Kluyveromyces lactis: one gene and its partners. The protein of the gene in region 1 interacts with the protein of each later gene in a pairwise test. Links are inferred from orthologs where the notes say so. Each region holds a gene or a part of one and is shown in the gene's direction. Other genes may lie near its edges.

Region 1 (2,299 bases):
ATTCAAGCTTTGTAATATAATTAACGATGAAATTGTCAATCGATTTCAACTTTTCATATTCCAACTTTTCAAGTGTTAGATCTGTCACTAAGGTCTTGATGATATTAATCAAATTCGGACTTGTTCCGATAGAATTGTTTATAAATATTCCACTCAATATTTCCGTTTCAGACCCCAATACAGCATCTTCGAGGTCAAGATTATTTACATCTCCGAACATGGCGGCTTCGAACGCAGCTTTTTGAGCAGTTGTTATCGTGACCATTGGGTCTGGAATCCCATTGTTTGCAGGTGTACTCCTGAAATCTCGTTTATTTGATACTAGTAGTTTATCGTTTTCGCCAATCAACGGTATCACTGAAATGTCCTCCACTAATGCACTTATTTTACGATGTTCAAGCTTTGTGTCTATATCCGTCCCTAAATCTATCACATCCCCCACTTTGATTTCAACATCAGTTTGACCGATCCTACTACCATTCACGAAAGTACCATTAGATGATTTCAGATCACGTATACATATTTTACCAGTTTTAGCATCACACGATAACGATGCATGGTTTCTTGAAAGCACTCTAGAATCAAAATTTCCATTATCAGCTTTCACCTGTGGATCAGCTTTGCCGGAAAGTCCTCCGTTACTTCCAGAATTTGAAGCTCCAATGACAGGTCGTCCCAATTTTAGTCCACTGGGCTTGAATGGAACTACTAAGAATTTAGTCTCAAATGTGTTGTTCAACGATTTTAGAACCAAAACATGTGTGTATTTGTTTCTGGCCTGTGTTCTCTCATCTTCAGCGGAAGTCAGTTTATTAAGAGCGTCATTACTTGAATTCAAACAGTTGTCATTCGAAGAACCGTTGCTGCTTGAGTTGGAACGAGCTCTTCTTCCTTTTGTTTTTGATGTGCTTGTGTTATCGTTACTCTGGTTTGCTGAAAGAGGATCCAATCGACTTCCTTGTTTCTCAGTCATATTCACTGCTTATAAGAACCCAATTAAACCATATGCAAAAAAAGGTAGTGCAAAGTGCAAGTTCTTATTCGGCTTCTGATTCACTTCAATGGAGAGACTGCCTCGTAGCAAATACTGCTGAAGCTGCTTTACCACTTCTGTGAAGATAATACTAAAATCATGAAACTGAGAAAAGAATGGACTTAATTTCAATCACAATTATTTTAATTCACCACATAGAAAAGAGGTAAACAAACATTACGCAACATACACATGAAAACACAACACTTCACATAGATCGGCAGGATTGTAATTGGATAACGCACTGTGATAATTTGGCATTGTTATTTGAGCTGATTTGACACAATGGAAGAGGTACTTTCGGAGGGTGTAGATGCTTTAGCAGCATGTGTCGATGACATGGCGAAATGTTTAACCGTATCTAAGGTCACTACAGATAGAAGCACTAAACTTGCTATAAATATGCTACAAACTAAGAGGGTATTCCAGTTGGTATCAGAATATGATGTGCAGAGGGCCAGACTTGATTTGATGGAGGATATAGAACCATTGTTACAAAAACTATATAGTAAACTGGAAAAAGCTCTAACCAAATTGGAAAGGGAGCGGGCCACTCTATCACAAACATTCGAATTGAATAAACTACGATTCAACAATCAAGAAAGTAACCCCATCATAGATAATGTGAAATCGGATCCAGTTGTAATAGTATCCTCGACACATGAAGAATTGGAACGTCTCAAAGACTTAAAGAATCGTAAAGAAGAACTGATACAAAGAATACAGGAATTGCATGAAGAGAGATAAATAAGCATACGCCGACTCTCTATCTATCGCATTGTTAACTTAAATTTTGAATATTTACAAAGTGATTGCTGATTTTGTTTTCAAGCCCGTTCAACTTTGCACTGACACTAATCAATGTAGGATCGCTGGTGGTAATTGAAACTTTCTCGCATTCAGTGACAACTCGCCCGTTAAATGTCACACACCTAGCCAATAGATCGCTTGCTTGCGGAAGAGTGATTCTTTCAGTTGCTGAAAAACTGGATATCAAATTGTTTATCATAGATGTTTGTTCAACTTGCAAGCCTTCTTCCTTAAGGATCTCTGCGATTTTTCCATTTCTGTCTTGCTTCAGCCTGTCTCTGACTTTATCACTGAATGATAACCCAGTTTTCGAATCGATCTCACTCCAGGGTTTTTTAATGACTTTTGTCAAATTCCTAATGTCCAAGCAAATCTCGTTTTTGAATAGCACTAATTCCATATTGACCAAATGATGTGCTGATTCACAAATGTCATGAGATTCAGAGAAGTTGTCGT
Region 2 (3,742 bases), on another chromosome or scaffold:
AAGAACAAACAGAGGAATCAAAAGAAGAACAAAAAGAAGAAATAAAAACTGACGCCAGGGAAATTGAGCATACAGAAACGGGAGCTGAAAAATCTGAACCTGCAAATTCAAATGCCGCAGATCACTCCACAGCAACTGAAGGAACTGCTCCAGCAGCAGAACAAGTAGCAAATTCAGATGTAACTGTTGACACTTCAAATGAGAAAAATGCAAATACACCAGAGAATGAAGAAAAAGAAGCAACAGAAGTAAGAGCTGAAAAAACAGGAGAAGAAGGGCTACAAAAAGCGGAAGAAAAGAATAAAGAGGAAGGTAGTCAAGAAGAAGCGATTCCAGTGGAAGAACCTCATCAAGAAGAATCTTTAGAGAATGAAGCATTATCAAACAAGGAAACACCATCGGAAAAACAAGAGCTGCCAGAAGAACAAGCAGTAACGGTCACAAATGCTGAATCTGATGCTAGAATAACAGTGAAGGACGGCACAGAAGTCGCTCTAGCTACCTTGGGGCTACGCTCTCATGTATTCGCTACCAACCAAGAAAAATTGATGAATAGGACGACAAATGATTTAATCAATACTCAACTAACAAAAGTCGATTTGAAGTTGAAGGCTCTTGATACCATGGAAAAATCCTTGGAACTAGAGCGCAAGGCTGTGCATAGGAAGCAAGAAGATGTTTTCATTCAAAGGCTAAGCTTCACCAAGTATGCCAACTCTCTTATGGGAAAATTTGAATCTTTACTGAAGCAAATTCCGGAATCTCCAGAAATCAAACAGCAATTACACGAATTACGTACCATAATTGCTGATCCACCAAAGACAAGTATCACATCCCAATCGGGTAATCTACAAGATTCTGATGATCTAGACTCCGCCAACAAACCAATATCGATTGAGTCACCGCAGTTATATCGTTATTGGTCAGGTTAATAATATAGACAATATTCATGTATTATATAGCCTCGTAACATTATATTAATTTAAACTATTGAAACAACACAAAAAGTCAAGCCTCTCCTTGTCCAAATGCAACATCTTCGTTGGAGTAAATCCTACTTGTTTTTTCCTTTGTACCTTGTCTTCAGGAATTATGTCCGTATGCTATATTGTCTTTAAAATATGAAAATATTGGAAACCTTCAAAAAAAATAGCTTTAACTAAACACGAATACGATATTTAATATTCCCAATATCAGAACAATTGAATGATACTGGTATTCGTTGTAAAGGTCGGATTTGCATTATTAAGGACCCAGTAACAAGTTCTGCGATGAATTTGTCTACATATGAGCATGCGTTGTCATTGTGGAAAGAAGCTGGCTTCAGCAGTATACAATCGTTACTTGATGATAGCATAGCTAAGATAAAGGATTTAGAAACTTCATCCTTGGAATCAAGAAAAACGTTAGCCAGTGAGACCAAGAAGTACAAGAAATTGCCAGATGATGAGAAACCTAGCCAATCTTTGAAATTAGTGAAAGAATACCAGAAGGAGATTGATTCGTTGACTACCAGATCAACGTTCTCCGAAAAGGTTGTTATCGAATTATATGAGAAGTTAATTGAACAACCGGACCCAACAGGGATCCTAGAGTCTATTGTAGAGGAACTGAAGAAAGATGGCACAAATGTCGATGATATCAAAGCTGAAAACCAAAAATTGGCGGCAATTGTTAGCAAGTGTGCCGATTATGACACTTTAAAGAAAAGATTATCGGATCTTGAACAAAATTCGGCTAAGACATTATCCAATAGATTAATCGCCAAAGAGAAAGAAATTACATCCAAATGGGAAGAAAAGCAACGTAATTGGAATAATAGAGAGGACGAATTATTGAAACAGTTAGAAACGTTGAAAAATACCAATAGCATCTTGGAAAAGAAAATAGGTGCTCAGGTCGATTTGGAGCAACAAGAAGATGGCGATGATGACACCGTTCTCGTTAGTGGAAAGAATAGCGCTCAAAGTGAGCTTCTGGTACAAGAACTTGAGGCTGCACAAATTCGTATCATGAGTCTTGAATCACGTAATGAAGAATTAAATTCTGAGGTAACCAAATTGAAGAGCGATGAACAACAGGATTCCATATTTCAAGAGAAAGAGACTAAATTGAACCAATTGGAAAGTGAAAATGCTAAATTGGTTACATGTTTAGAAGAAGAACGCAAGAGTTTGAAGGAAACATCCCAAACGTTGAGCTCACAATTGAAATCATCTGCACTTGAAACGCAGACTTATAAATCGGAATTAGAGACATTGAGACGCAAGTTAACGAACTACTCAGATTATGAAAAAATAAAGCAAGAATTGAATGCCATGAAGAAGATTGAATTCGGAACCAGTGATGACAGTGACAACGAAAACGATGATGGTGATGACTCTATCACCAGTTCATTGAAACATGCGAACCAAAAACTCCAAAATAATTTGGTGAAGGCCAATACTGAAAAGAACAAATATATGAACGAAACCCAAACGCTCAAGAAAAGCATAGAAGCTTTATATTCTAAGATTCAAAATCTAGAAACTTTGAATGCGAAATTAGAAGCAGACATTGAGAAGGTCGAAGATGTAACGAACCAATTCTCCGATACACAATCAATGATGTCAGGGGCAACAAGGCAAATAAGTAATAGACATGCCACTAACGAAAAACTATCTCCTACAAGCTCAATCATTGGAATACCAGAAGAAAAAGAACTAGATACCTTCTCCGGCAATTTTAACGGCTCTCCATCTATCCTACCAATTGTCACCAAACAGAGAGACAGATTCCGCTCAAGAAATCTAGAGCTTGAAAGGCAAATAAAGCATTGTAACCAAGAACAGACGAAACTTAAGGTACAAGTGAAGGAATTAAAGGCCGATAATTCCAAATTGTACGAGAAGGCAAAGCTACTAAGTTCGTATTCGAACAATTCCGCAGTGCGCAATACAGTAGATTTGGAATCTCCATTTTCCGAAGAATATGAGGAGTCATTACATCCATTATCTAGTTTCAAAGAAAGAGAGCTAGAAAGATACGAACGACGTAAGATGCCACCCTTGGAAAGACTATTCTTGAGTTTTGCAAAAGTTATTCTAGCGAACAAACAGACAAGAATGCTATTCATGTTGTATTGCCTTGGATTACATGGATTGGTGATGGTGATGACTATATATGTCACAAGTTTCACCAACTACATAACTCCAGACGTTAGCTCCTCATCAGGTAGTATGATTAACACCAATCAGTGAGATACAGTGGTCATTCTTTTTTGTATAATTTCCGTTTATAGTTAATTATGAAAACAGGTAAATCGTTCACAGGAATGTCTCCTGGACTGGCAAATACCTTACAATGAATTAGGTGAAGTATTCTTTTGGGAACGTATGTTGACTGATTAAATTAGTATACTCAGAGGTTTGTGTAAAAAATTACTTAAATGTTATGATATTTATTTGAGAAAATGTTTGGATGGGAAGATCCAGGAAATTTAAGCAGTGATTCTCTTTTGAGTAGCCAATCTACCTCTTTGTCTGGAGGACAATCTAGCAACCTTCTTTTCAGAAGCCTTTTCAACAGCTTCTTCCTTTTCAGTAACGACCAATTCGATGTGAGATGGAGAAGATTCGTATTTGTTAATTCTACCGTGAGCTCTGAAGGTTCTTCTTCTTTGCTTTGGAGCTTGGTTAACTTGAATGTGAGAGACGTACAATCTGGTAGCGTCTAAACCCTTAGCCTGTGGAAATGATTAATT
Region 3 (2,790 bases), on another chromosome or scaffold:
AACAGCAACTCAGTCTTCATAACCCTAAACCCTGTATAATGAACTAATTTCCGTTCGTGTAATTTCTCTTATTCCAAATTAAAAACTAAAGTCCAGTTGAACAACTATGAGTAAACTTAGTTCCAATTTTCCTTGTATGCGTTTCTTGAGCTCTTAATTCTCTCTCTGCTATTGCTTTCAGATGAAGGCTGTCAAGGAGTGAATGAATGGATCAATGAACAACGTAGCGATCGGACAGTTAGTGCTGCTCCTTCTATCTCAAAAGTTAATGGATAGTATAACGTAAAAGCGTTACTGGATTGCAGAACCGTTAAGATGAGGAAGAAACGAATGGGCCCTGAGAATACATCTTGTTTTATTTAAGGCGGGAGCCCTCATCTCGTGAAATATATGAATATTAATTGAAAGACACCAAAAATATCACAGTTGCAAGACAGGAAAAACCATTATTATATTTTGGTATTACTTCTCAGTAAACTAACGGGCCAGTTGGAAACAATCGAAATCCTCTACAACCCTGTCTTAGCTTTTTTCATCTCACATTCTACTTCTGGTCCCCCAAATTCTCACCTACCTCAAAGTTCTGAAGATTCACTTATAATTCTTCTTTTGGCATCCTTAAAACATTTCGCGATTTCTCTAAATGTGTTACCAAAATAGGATATAACGCGAACACCGGGTAAACCAGTAGCATCCACCAAAAAGATATAAAAAAAACAGATACAAATTCTTGTCACGTGAGGGGTTGTTTGACTATTATTCAAGGTCACGTGTGTTACGTATAACGTGACTTCCCCTTTTTGTAATGTAGGTCAATGGAATTTTGATTTTCTTTCAGCACTGAAATGGGTGATATTACTGTTAAGATCAATACGATGAACTATCCAAAAGGTTTAAATTGCAATTTATTGAAGTAGATAAGGTTCCAAACGATTCAAACCGAAGAACACGCTAGAGCGATAGCAGGTATAACATATTCTTGTTTTATTTGTTCCTGTCTCTTTGACTGATTGTGAGTAACGCAGGCATACTTCAAAGAAAACATTACGTTTGAGCTCAGTGTTAATTTGATATCTGACCTCTATTTTAATCGCGCTTGACTCCACAGATAATTCAAATACCAATTTAAGATGCCAAAGCTTGAACAATTTGAGATCAAAAAGTATTGGCAAATTTTCTCCGGATTGAAACCGGTGGAAAATAAGTTGACCCATGATCAAGTACTGCCTATCCTTTTCAATTCTAAATTGGACACCTCGATACTTAACAAAATATGGTTTTTGGCCGATATCGATGATGATGATCAACTAGATTTTGAAGAGTTTGTGATTTGTATGAGAATGATATTTGACATGGTTAATAAAAACATAGATTCTGTACCAGATGAATTGCCAGATTGGTTGATTCCCGGTTCAAAAGCCGAATTAGTCAAACAAAGAAAAACTGAACGTAGTAGCGGAACAGCAGAAACAAGTTCTGTGGTCAATGTTCCGACATCTTCGCCAGCTGTAGACGATTATCAAAAAGAAGTTGATTGGTATATATCAAGAGATGATAAGTCACAATACGAATCAATTTATGAATCAGCCATAACCTCTAGAGACAATAGTGTATCTTATGTTTCACTATCCTCCGCCGTTAGATCGAAGTATATCAATCTATCATCTCAAGATTTAGAAAAAACGTGGCGTTTGGTTAATCCTAAGCTTGACACTTCCATAGATAAGGATCCAGCACTATACTTTATTCATATTCTGAGACAAGTGAACGACTATGCTTGCCCAATACCATCACATTTACCTTCAGCATTGAAAGAAACTTTTACAAAGACTAGAGTTTCCACGGATTTGTCTTCCAAGCAGAGCGAAGTAAGAAGGCCAACACTATCCACATCTAACTCTTCATCTTACCAAATACCAAAACGTGGTGGTACTGATTTTTCTGTTACTCAGGGAACTGATTGGGAAGTAGTCAGACTTCAAAGGGAATTGGCAAATATTGACTCTGAATTATCGTCAGCACAGCAACAATCCACCTCTCATAATGACTCAAATGATAGAATGAAATTAGTAAAACAACAGTTAGAACAGTTCTTGGAATACCAAAAAAACCTTGTCAATAATTCCAATACTTCTTCAGAAAGCGTTGATGTTGGAGGTTTGAGGGATGATATAGAGAGTATTGAGCAGCAAGTACAAATGTTGGAGGAGTACCTGAAAACAAAGAAGTCGGAACTGCATAATTTGAAGATAGAGGTGCAATCTCTTTACTGAGGTTATTGACCTACCCTATATACTTTCTGGAGTAAATTTTGAACTACGTTGTTTCATGTATAATGATAATTCACTTCTTAGCTTAACTTTTTGGATATTAGAACGAAATTTAAACGTTTGTGGTGATTGCTTAGTACTAATTTAATTAATTTACATATGACCGTGCTGTCTATCGGCTGTTCTTGGTTTAGCCCTGATAATATTATCCACTCTCAAGAGGACTTCGGCTGCTTCGCTGGCTGAGGTTACTACAGCTCTTTTCAATTTATAACTTTCCACGATCCCTAGTTCTCTCATGTCAGCAATGGTGCCGTTATCCAAATCCAAACCTGATGTACTCATGCCGTTGTAAATCGAAGATCTTAACTTTGTGATCAATTCACTACTATCGAAACCAGCGTTGTCCGCAAGAATAGTAGGCAATTGTCTTAGGGCTTTTGCAAAAGATTCTACAGCAAGTGCTTTCTTACCTTCAACATTTTGCCCTACTGTGTCAACAGCTTTTGACATAATCATT
Region 4 (4,268 bases), on another chromosome or scaffold:
TCCCTCCCCTAACTTCTCATTTTCATGCTCTCAAAAGGAAGAAGGAAACTGCTTTTTGTTAGAGCTCTTTTCCATGTCAGTTGACAGTCGAATTTCAGGACTACAGTATTTTTTTTTTTTGGCCAGGAATTAGTTCAACAATACAAATTACCTTAACAAACAAAAGCTCAATCTATACTGCCGAGAGTTAGAAGAAGAAAAAGCGAGTCTTTAAACATTCATTGAATCCTGTTTCTCCATTCTTCAACGCCTATATATATAACCACAGTTTGAAATGTCAGAAGAACAAGAACAAAAGGTGGATGTTAAGCCAGAAACACATATTAACTTGAAGGTTTCGGATGGATCCAGTGAGATCTTCTTCAAGATCAAAAAGACCACTCCATTAAAAAGATTAATGGAGGCATTTGCTAAGAGACAAGGTAAAGAGATTGAATCCCTAAGATTCCTTTACGACGGTGTGCGTGTGTTACCAGATCAGACCCCTGAAGATTTGGACATGGAAGATAACGATATCATTGAAGCTCACAGAGAGCAAATTGGTGGTAGTTTGTAATTGGGAGTGTACTTTGCAGCAGTAAGTGGGATCAACTACAGCATTCCCATCCTTTTTTATCTTTCAATGTAACCTATCTAATGTTATAATAACTGACTATGTATCTGGAATATTAAAACTACTTTGGATGAACAACAAGAAAAGTGCCCGCAAGCTTATCTGCATTTCCCCAGGGAAAACAGTCGGTATGGAATTAGAAATGAAATCCGAATGGAAAGAAAAAAGAGATTGGGTATCAAATGGCAGGGCTTATAACAGACCTCCTGCAAATTACCACCCTTGTATTCCTATTTCGATTCGAAAAGCTAGGTTTGCTTCAAGTTTCGCGTTTTTAGGTCTTTTTTTTTTCAAGTCATTTTCCTTCCTAGTATGGTGAACATTCTTTTCAATTAGTATAACTGTTACAGTAAATGATTTTAGAAAGAATAATTTACCAGAAGTGGAAGAAATATTAGCTGTCTTGTTAATAGTTTTCTGCCACACTCGTTTTGAATTTGGTAGGTTTTTTCTTCCATTGTTATTTGGCATACATATATACCAAGACGTGAAGTTTAATTGTGTTTTTCTTTGGTGAAAATTGTACCTGAGGGAAATACTGAGAAATTGAGACAAGGCTCATCACATAAAACTGGAAGTAGATTAAACCATAAAAGTTATCGTGAAAAAAATAATTTCAATTCACTTCAACCATCTTCAACCACGACCAATTGAATTCACTAGACGGTACCAGATATCAGACATAGAGAGTTATTTATCTAGGCAAGCGAATCTCACTCTGATAAAAACGATATATTACACCACATTCATTCTCATAAGAAATTATCATTCAAACCTTTACGCGACTGGGGAACATTATAACTTGTAGCTTGGCCAATACTATCACAATATATCAGAAATGAACGGTAACGGAATAACGACGTTAAAGGGTGACACAATTGGCCCGTGGAAGTTGGGCTCGACACTGGGTGTTGGCTCAACAGGTAAAGTCGTAATGGCCTATAATGAAACTAAAGGACAACAAGCCGCTGTGAAAATTATATCAAAATCAATATTCAACGCTCAAGGGTCGACAATGATTGGTGGTAACGATCCTGATGTCTTACCCTATGGTATTGAACGTGAAATTATCATTATGAAGTTGTTGAATCATCCTAATGTCTTGAGATTATACGATGTTTGGGAAACTTCAAAAGATTTATATATGGTTTTAGAGTACGTTGAAAAAGGTGAGTTATTCAACTTGTTGGTGGAAAGGGGCCCATTACCTGAGAATGAGGCAGTCAGATTTTTCAGACAGATAATTATCGGTATTTCTTACTGCCATGCGTTAGGTATAGTTCATCGTGATTTGAAGCCTGAAAATCTTTTATTAGACCATAAATTCAATGTCAAACTAGCCGATTTCGGTATGGCAGCACTAGAATCAAAAGATAAATTACTGGAAACTAGTTGTGGTTCGCCTCATTACGCGGCACCCGAAATTGTCTCGGGCTTGCCATATCACGGTTTTGAATCCGATGTTTGGTCATGTGGTGTTATTCTTTACGCTTTACTGACCGGTAGGTTGCCATTTGATGAAGAAGATGGCAATATCAGAAATCTCTTGTTAAAGGTTCAAAGTGGGAAATTTGAAATGCCTGGAGATGATGAAATATCATCGGAAGCCCAAGATTTAATCGCCAGAATCTTAACAGTAGATCCAGAACAAAGAATCAAGACAAGAGAGATCCTAAAGCATCCACTTCTAAGAAAATACCCAAGCATTAAGGACTCTAAATCCATTAGAAACTTACCTCGAGAAGATACCTATTTGAATCCACTATCATTAGAAGGAGGAAATCAATGCGTAGATGAAACTATTTTGCAGAATTTGGTTGTTCTATGGCATGGTAGAAATAAGGAAGACATTATTACGAAGTTGATGGAACCTGGTGCTAATTTAGAAAAGACTTTTTACGCTTTACTGCATAGATTTAAACACGATAATTACCAAGATCAATTGAAGCAACAAGAATTACAAAAGAAACAATCTGTCTCTTCGAATTCGCTGATGTACGTTGGATCTTTACCATCTCCTAATAAATCTGATTCCCCAGTCACCACTCCAAAGAAGAAAAGAACATCAATCATAGTTGCCTCATCTTCTCACAAAAGACCTGTATCAATGCAAAAACTGAGTAGCCAACATAGCTCACCAGTGAAAAACGGCTCAATAGGTAAACGTTTGAGTAAGACTTTCCCTTCAAACAAGAGAATTTCACAGCTAGTCTCCAATTCGTCTTCTCCAACCCCTGCTGCTCATAAAAGAGTTTCCAGGATAAACGATAGTGCAGCTCCACCCGTCCCTAAAGAAATGCTTCGTGACTACAAAAGACAATCAAAGAGACAATCCAAAAGATTCTCTCTACTGCCTAATATGAAGCGTGGATCTATAACAACGAAACTGATTGCAACGTATGCAAAACTTTCCGAAGACAGTGAATGGGAATACATCGAAAAGGAAACGAAAAGGACAAGTCAGGACTTTGCTACATTGATGGATCAGATTTTCGAGCATGAGAAATACGAACAAATACGGAAAGAGAAGGAAGAGTTGGAAAGAAAAGTCAACGAAGCTCGTGAGAAGGAGGAAGCTGAAAGAAAGGAACGGGAAAGGATCGAGCGGGAGGAGCAAGAAAGACTTGAAAGAGAAGAACGAAAGCGAGCTGAAAGACAGAAGGAATTGCAAGACCAAATGGAAGACGAAATTGCTAAGCTCAAGGCGGAATATGAAGCTGTTCAGGGGAGCTCGGATGAAAGAAACACAGCCAATGGAAGATCTGTCTCTGCTCCGATAGAGACCGATAGAACTGCAAACAAAAGAGATAGTACATTCGGTATAAAGAATGACATCAATGAACTAATCAATACAAGAAACTTCTCTCTACAAACGAGACCAGTTTCCAGACTTGACCCTGGTATCATAGCTGCTGAAAGTAGACTGTCAGCTAACCTAGAAGATGACCAAGCGTCAAAGGAAAAGACTATTCTGGAAACCATTAGACGCTCCAAATTCCTTGGATCGCAATTTAACTTGAACGTTGAATTAGAGAAAGCCCAAAAGGATTTAGTATCTAAAGAGAGACAAGAACAATTGAGAAAGTACTCTGAACAGACTGCAAAGTACGAGGTTCAAAAGTTACCCAAGAATGCTAAAGCAGTTGCAACTCTCAGAGATGACGAAGTTGAACCCAGAAAGCTCTCAGAAGTCAAAGTTCCACAATTTACAAGGAGGTCAAAACATTTCTCTTCCTCTAACAAAAGATTTTCTGTATTGTCACTGTATTCAACTAAGACTTCATTCACGAACCTTGTGGATCATTTGAAGAACGATAATTATCTTGAACCTCTACCTGGCCAACCTGAATACTCATCATCCAAGGTTGCACAGGAACCAGAATTCATGTTTGAGACCGTTGAAGAGCTTGATGAAAATTCTAAGCTGTTCGAAGTACCAGAAACAGAGGAAGGAAAACTAGCTTCTGCCGCCAGAAAGGAATCTACTGATGCCAGAAAACAAAGTACTAATGATAAGGATATTAACTTGCCGTCGTTACCTCCATTGCAGGTATCTCATGACGTAGCCGACGAGAATGGAGCATTAGGGCTTGGCATTTACCAGCCAAACGATCAGACACAAAAGCCCCACAAAACAATGCTCATTGATGAATCC
Region 5 (4,320 bases), about 180 kb from region 1:
AGTATGAAAAGTTAGTTCATAAGGGCAGTGATAAAACAATGTTACTCGAATCTATTAAGAATTTTGGATTTGTTCCAGTCACTGCGCCAGATTTCAATTCCTTTAAACAAAAGTCAATCGACAATGTTGACATCGACCAATTAACTAACAGATTGGAAACATTGGGTTACGTTGCAGTTTCAAAAGAAGGATACTCAAAATTAATGGCTCCCGTTATAGATAAAGTAACTAAAGATGAAACTTTTAAACTCTGTGACAAATACAATCTAAAGCCTGTTGCTGCTGAAGCATACCAGAAATTACAGGAAAGCTCGAAAGTTGCACTACTTTCAGAGGATGAATTGATTAAGAAAGTCAAGGAACATGGTCATGTGGTCTTAGATAGTAAGTCTTACGAAGATTTGATAAACAAATCAAACAATCCACAACTAAAAGATTTATCCAGACACCTCTCAACCTATAAAATGGTTCCCGTACAGCTGAACGAATATGAAAATCTAATGGCTATGAAAGACTCTCCCTCATTGACGTTTTTGAAGGAGAAGGCTAAACTTCATCATCAAACTATGTTACCATTCGATGAACTGGAGGGCTTGAAATCGAAATTAGAGCACCCATCTAGAGAATATTTAGAAAACATGGCTGGAACTCTTGGACTCGCCCTGTTACCAATTGAATCTATTGAAGAGCTCAAGACCTCATATGAAAATCCTTCTATTGCACACTTATCAAATAGGGCAAGCAATATTGGCAAACGTTTGATCGATCAACAGAAATATGACAATTTGCAAAGAAAAACAAACGAACCTACGGTGAAAGAAGTGGAACAACTGGCTGCTAGAATTGAATGCAAGGTTCTACCAACTGTCGAGTACGAAGAGCTACAGCTCGCAATCAATAACCCTTCAATCAAAAGATCAAAGGAGGTTTGCGACATCAATGGGTATAGCGTAGTTCCCACGAAAAAGTTCAATGAACTTCAACTTAACTTGACTAGTCCATCTTTAGAATTCTTGCAAGAAAAAGCGCAGCAACACAAACAAGTTTTACTACCGATTGAAGAACATAATAAGTTACAAATGTCAGCAGTTACTGACGAGCAGGGTTTACAGAGAAGTGCGAGAAGTCTCGGACTTGTAGTTGTTCCGGAAGCTGATTATGATTCTTTGTCCAATCCTTCCCTGCACATCCTACAAAAGCAAATAACAGAAAAAGGTCATGTGGTACTTGATGCTGAGACCTACAAAAGTCTCAATTCCTCAAATGTTGATTCAATTTCCAAACAGGAGGTGATAGGTCTGTGTTCAAAGTTCGATTTGATTCCTCTACCTGAAAAACACTATAAGGAGTTAACAGTTCCTTCGATAGAGAAAGTAAAACAGCTAGTCGAACCATTAGCGCTAACTGTTATTGACCGTGAGGAATTGGCTTTCTTGAAGACCCAAGTTGATAATCCATCTGAAGAATCAGTTGTAGCGACCGCGCCAAAATACGGGTACAAGCTCCTGGGTGACAAGGAATATGAGAATTTACAAAACGAGGCCAAAAAACTCTCTTCTCTCACCAAAATTGATATTGAAAAACTTGCAGCGAAATTGGGTCTTGTTGTTCTTAGTGAAGAATCATACGATGCTCTTATTGAAAAACTGAAAAAAGAGGTTGAAGTTTCTTCAATGTCACCAAGATCGAAAGTCGCAGCAAGCAAGCTATATTTCGAAAATGTTATCAAGAAAGAGAATTCAAATAAAGAGGTGGTATTAGAATCAGGAAAGTTATTAGGATTTGTAAGACTTTCAAACGATGAGTACAAAAGGCTTCTCGAGAATCAACAAAAGCACGAATTAACAAAGACGGATATTTATAATGGGGCAAAAGCCTTTGATCTCACTGTTCTTCCCTCCGAAGAATATAATAACTTATTACAAAGAAAGGCGCATAGTGATAATATTACATATGACGATTTACAGTTGTATGCTTCACGTTTTGCTTTGAAGTTGGTCCCTGTTAATTTCACAGATGAAGAACTCGAGAAACATAATAATCAACGTGTCGGCGATTATGGCTCTAGGCCTGCATTAAATCTCCATCCCTCTGTGAACCATTCCACTGTTAGTTTCAATTCTGTAAGCACAGGTGACACTGATTATTATGATGCGCTACAAAGTAGCAGCTCCTTCAACCTCAGAAACAGCCCTTCGAAGTCAAGCATGCATACATCTTCCACTCATTATACCGATGCCAATGATTTCCTTGGTTCTGATAATGATAATGTTTCACTGGCATCAACGATAAAAGATAATGAACCGACATTGGAGGACTTGCAAAGACATGCAGAAGTTTTAGGTTACAACCTTATTGAAAAGGATATCGATTGTCATCAAAATCATTACTCTACATCATTGACACCTGAAGATTTGACAAAGGATATCATTTACTCTGCTGCACCGCAATTCGGATTATCTGTGGTGCCAACTGAGGAATTTATAGAGATGGAGAAACTTATCACTTCAGAGAGGTTAACACCAGATTCTATTCGTGAGAGTGCGAAGAAGTATGGCTTAATAGTTTTAACTGAAGCTGAACATTCTCAACTTGTTAAAAAATCTACTCAATTGATCGCGCCAGCTCCAATAATCTCAACAGAAACAATTAAACAGAAAGCTAGAGAACATGGCCTCGTACCAGTAGCAACAAATGACTACCTGAAGCTTATCAAACCTGATAGTGCTGATGATATCAAGGAAAAAGCGTCAAAGCTGGGTATTGTCACATTAGCCGAAGAAGACTACAAGGAAATTAAAAAGCCTTTGACTCGCGAGCTACTGGAAGCAAGGGCCAAAGAACTAGAACTCGTCACGCTACCAGTTTTAGAATACAGTGCCCTCAAAAAACCGTTGACAGTTACAGACATAAAACAGAAATGTGAAGATTGGGGTTTAGTTCCTATAGAAAAAGACATATATGAAGACCTTTTGAACAAGTTCAACGATGACTCTGTCAGTGAATGGGCGAAAGAACATGGGAAAGTTATTGTCTCGAAAGACGAATATGACCATCTGTTGGAAGTCGAGGATCAAGCGGCTTCTGTTGCAATGACTAGGGATGAGTTGATAGAAAGAGCCCATGAGCTCAACATTATACCGATTGATGCTGACAAATTTGAAGAAATACAACGCGAATTAGCTTCCTCCGGCAGAAACAGTATGACGGAGGACGACGTTGTTTTGAAAGCTAAAGAATTAGGATTTGTGCCTATCCCAGTGTCCCAGTATGATCCAAATACCGCGATTGGTATTTCTAAAGACGATCTCATGATACGCGCACGAGATCTTGGTCTTGTTCCCATTCCTATTGAGCAGTTTGAACAGATTAAGAAAGAATTGGAGACGCCAACCTTGACCAGGGAACAAATAGTTGAGCATGCCGCTGATTTCAATTTGATAGCTTTAGATTTAACGGAGTACAAACGTTTGAAGAAGGGTTCGTATTTGATGGATAACGACAATGACACTGATTCTGAAGAAGATGAAGAGGAAGAAGAAGACGCAGAGGTCGTTGACTCTGAGATAAAACAATTAAACAAAGCTGCTAAGAGATTTGGCTTACTATGTATTCCAGAAAGCGCATTTGTCGCCACATCCAATGCAAATACTCCAGATGTCCATAATGTTGTTGTGTTGCCGATCAAATATTATAATTCTCTATTACATCAAGAGTCTGAAAATTGGGCGAAGATTACTGATGAGAATTTGCAAGCGGAAGCCAAGAAGCGTGGTTTCCAAGTTGTCGTTAATTTGAGAAAGGACTTTGGCGATGGCTTTACTCAGGGGCATAGAAGAAATTCTTCATTGGCGACTCGGTCTGTCATTTCAGAGGATGCTAGAAGATCCATGTCAGAAGCTGCTGCTAATGCTGCAATGAGCGAAATGGAGCAACAGACCAGATCCAGAGCCCCATCAAGATCTTCTTCAATCAAACGTCCGTCGCCTTCACTTCAAACTAATCAAGCATCACTGCTTACACACAGCGAGTCTATGGCTACTGGTTTATCTTTAGCTACAATGGCGTCCCTCAGCGCTCCAAGTATCATCCCAGCATTGACCCAAACTATGATTGGTGAATACTTGCACAAGTACTATCGTCGTTTAGGTGGATCTCTGTTCCAATCTTCACGTCATGAAAGATACTTCTGGGTTCATCCTTACACTTTAACCTTGTATTGGTCTACGTCCAATCCTGTGCTTGAGAACCCAGGGAACAACAAAACCAGAGCGGCAGCTATTATGGGTGTAGAGAGCGTCGACGATCCATGTCCTTTCC

Evidence for each region.
Region 2: the proteins of SPC19 (region 1) and COY1 interact in a two-hybrid assay, tested with the Saccharomyces cerevisiae proteins (2 studies listed by BioGRID). The link is inferred for Kluyveromyces lactis from reciprocal best matches to the Saccharomyces cerevisiae genes SPC19 and COY1.
Region 3: the proteins of SPC19 (region 1) and END3 interact in a two-hybrid assay, tested with the Saccharomyces cerevisiae proteins (2 studies listed by BioGRID). The link is inferred for Kluyveromyces lactis from reciprocal best matches to the Saccharomyces cerevisiae genes SPC19 and END3.
Region 4: the proteins of SPC19 (region 1) and KLLA0_C01650g interact in a two-hybrid assay, tested with the Saccharomyces cerevisiae proteins (2 studies listed by BioGRID). The link is inferred for Kluyveromyces lactis from reciprocal best matches to the Saccharomyces cerevisiae genes SPC19 and GIN4.
Region 5: the proteins of SPC19 (region 1) and NUM1 interact in a two-hybrid assay, tested with the Saccharomyces cerevisiae proteins (2 studies listed by BioGRID). The link is inferred for Kluyveromyces lactis from reciprocal best matches to the Saccharomyces cerevisiae genes SPC19 and NUM1.

What each region holds. Positions count from the first base shown.
Region 1 is NC_006040.1:1,585,075-1,587,373, forward strand, and holds SPC19 (Spc19p), read left to right. Parts: upstream 1-1,318; coding exon 1,319-1,780; downstream 1,781-2,299. Other genes in the region: KLLA0_D18799g (uncharacterized protein), read right to left, coding at 1-973; RAV2 (Rav2p), read right to left, coding at 1,815-2,299. UniProt on the Saccharomyces cerevisiae protein: Component of the DASH complex that connects microtubules with kinetochores and couples microtubule depolymerisation to chromosome movement; it is involved in retrieving kinetochores to the spindle poles before their re-orientation on the spindle in early mitosis and allows microtubule depolymerization to pull chromosomes apart and resist detachment during anaphase.
Region 2 is NC_006037.1:577,587-581,328, reverse strand, and holds COY1 (CCAAT displacement transcription factor COY1), read left to right. Parts: upstream 1-1,271; coding exon 1,272-3,239; downstream 3,240-3,742. Other genes in the region: SWI3 (Swi3p), read left to right, coding at 1-932; KLLA0_A06336g (60S ribosomal protein uL22), read right to left, coding at 3,479-3,724. UniProt on the Saccharomyces cerevisiae protein: May be involved in intra-Golgi transport.
Region 3 is NC_006039.1:982,987-985,776, forward strand, and holds END3 (End3p), read left to right. Parts: upstream 1-1,130; coding exon 1,131-2,273; downstream 2,274-2,790. Other genes in the region: AXL2 (Axl2p), read right to left, coding at 1-20; chaperonin-containing T-complex subunit CCT2, read right to left, coding at 2,424-2,790. UniProt on the Saccharomyces cerevisiae protein: Component of the PAN1 actin cytoskeleton-regulatory complex required for the internalization of endosomes during actin-coupled endocytosis. The complex links the site of endocytosis to the cell membrane-associated actin cytoskeleton.
Region 4 is NC_006039.1:126,668-130,935, forward strand, and holds the start of KLLA0_C01650g (uncharacterized protein), read left to right. Parts: upstream 1-1,451; coding exon 1,452-4,268. Other genes in the region: SUMO family protein SMT3, read left to right, coding at 275-556. UniProt on the Saccharomyces cerevisiae protein: Serine/threonine-protein kinase which regulates the localization and the function of the septins during mitosis. Phosphorylates SHS1.
Region 5 is NC_006040.1:1,402,701-1,407,020, forward strand, and holds part of NUM1 (Num1p), read left to right. Parts: coding exon 1-4,320. UniProt on the Saccharomyces cerevisiae protein: Controls nuclear migration. NUM1 specifically controls the interaction of the bud neck cytoskeleton with the pre-divisional G2 nucleus. Functions in dynein-anchoring.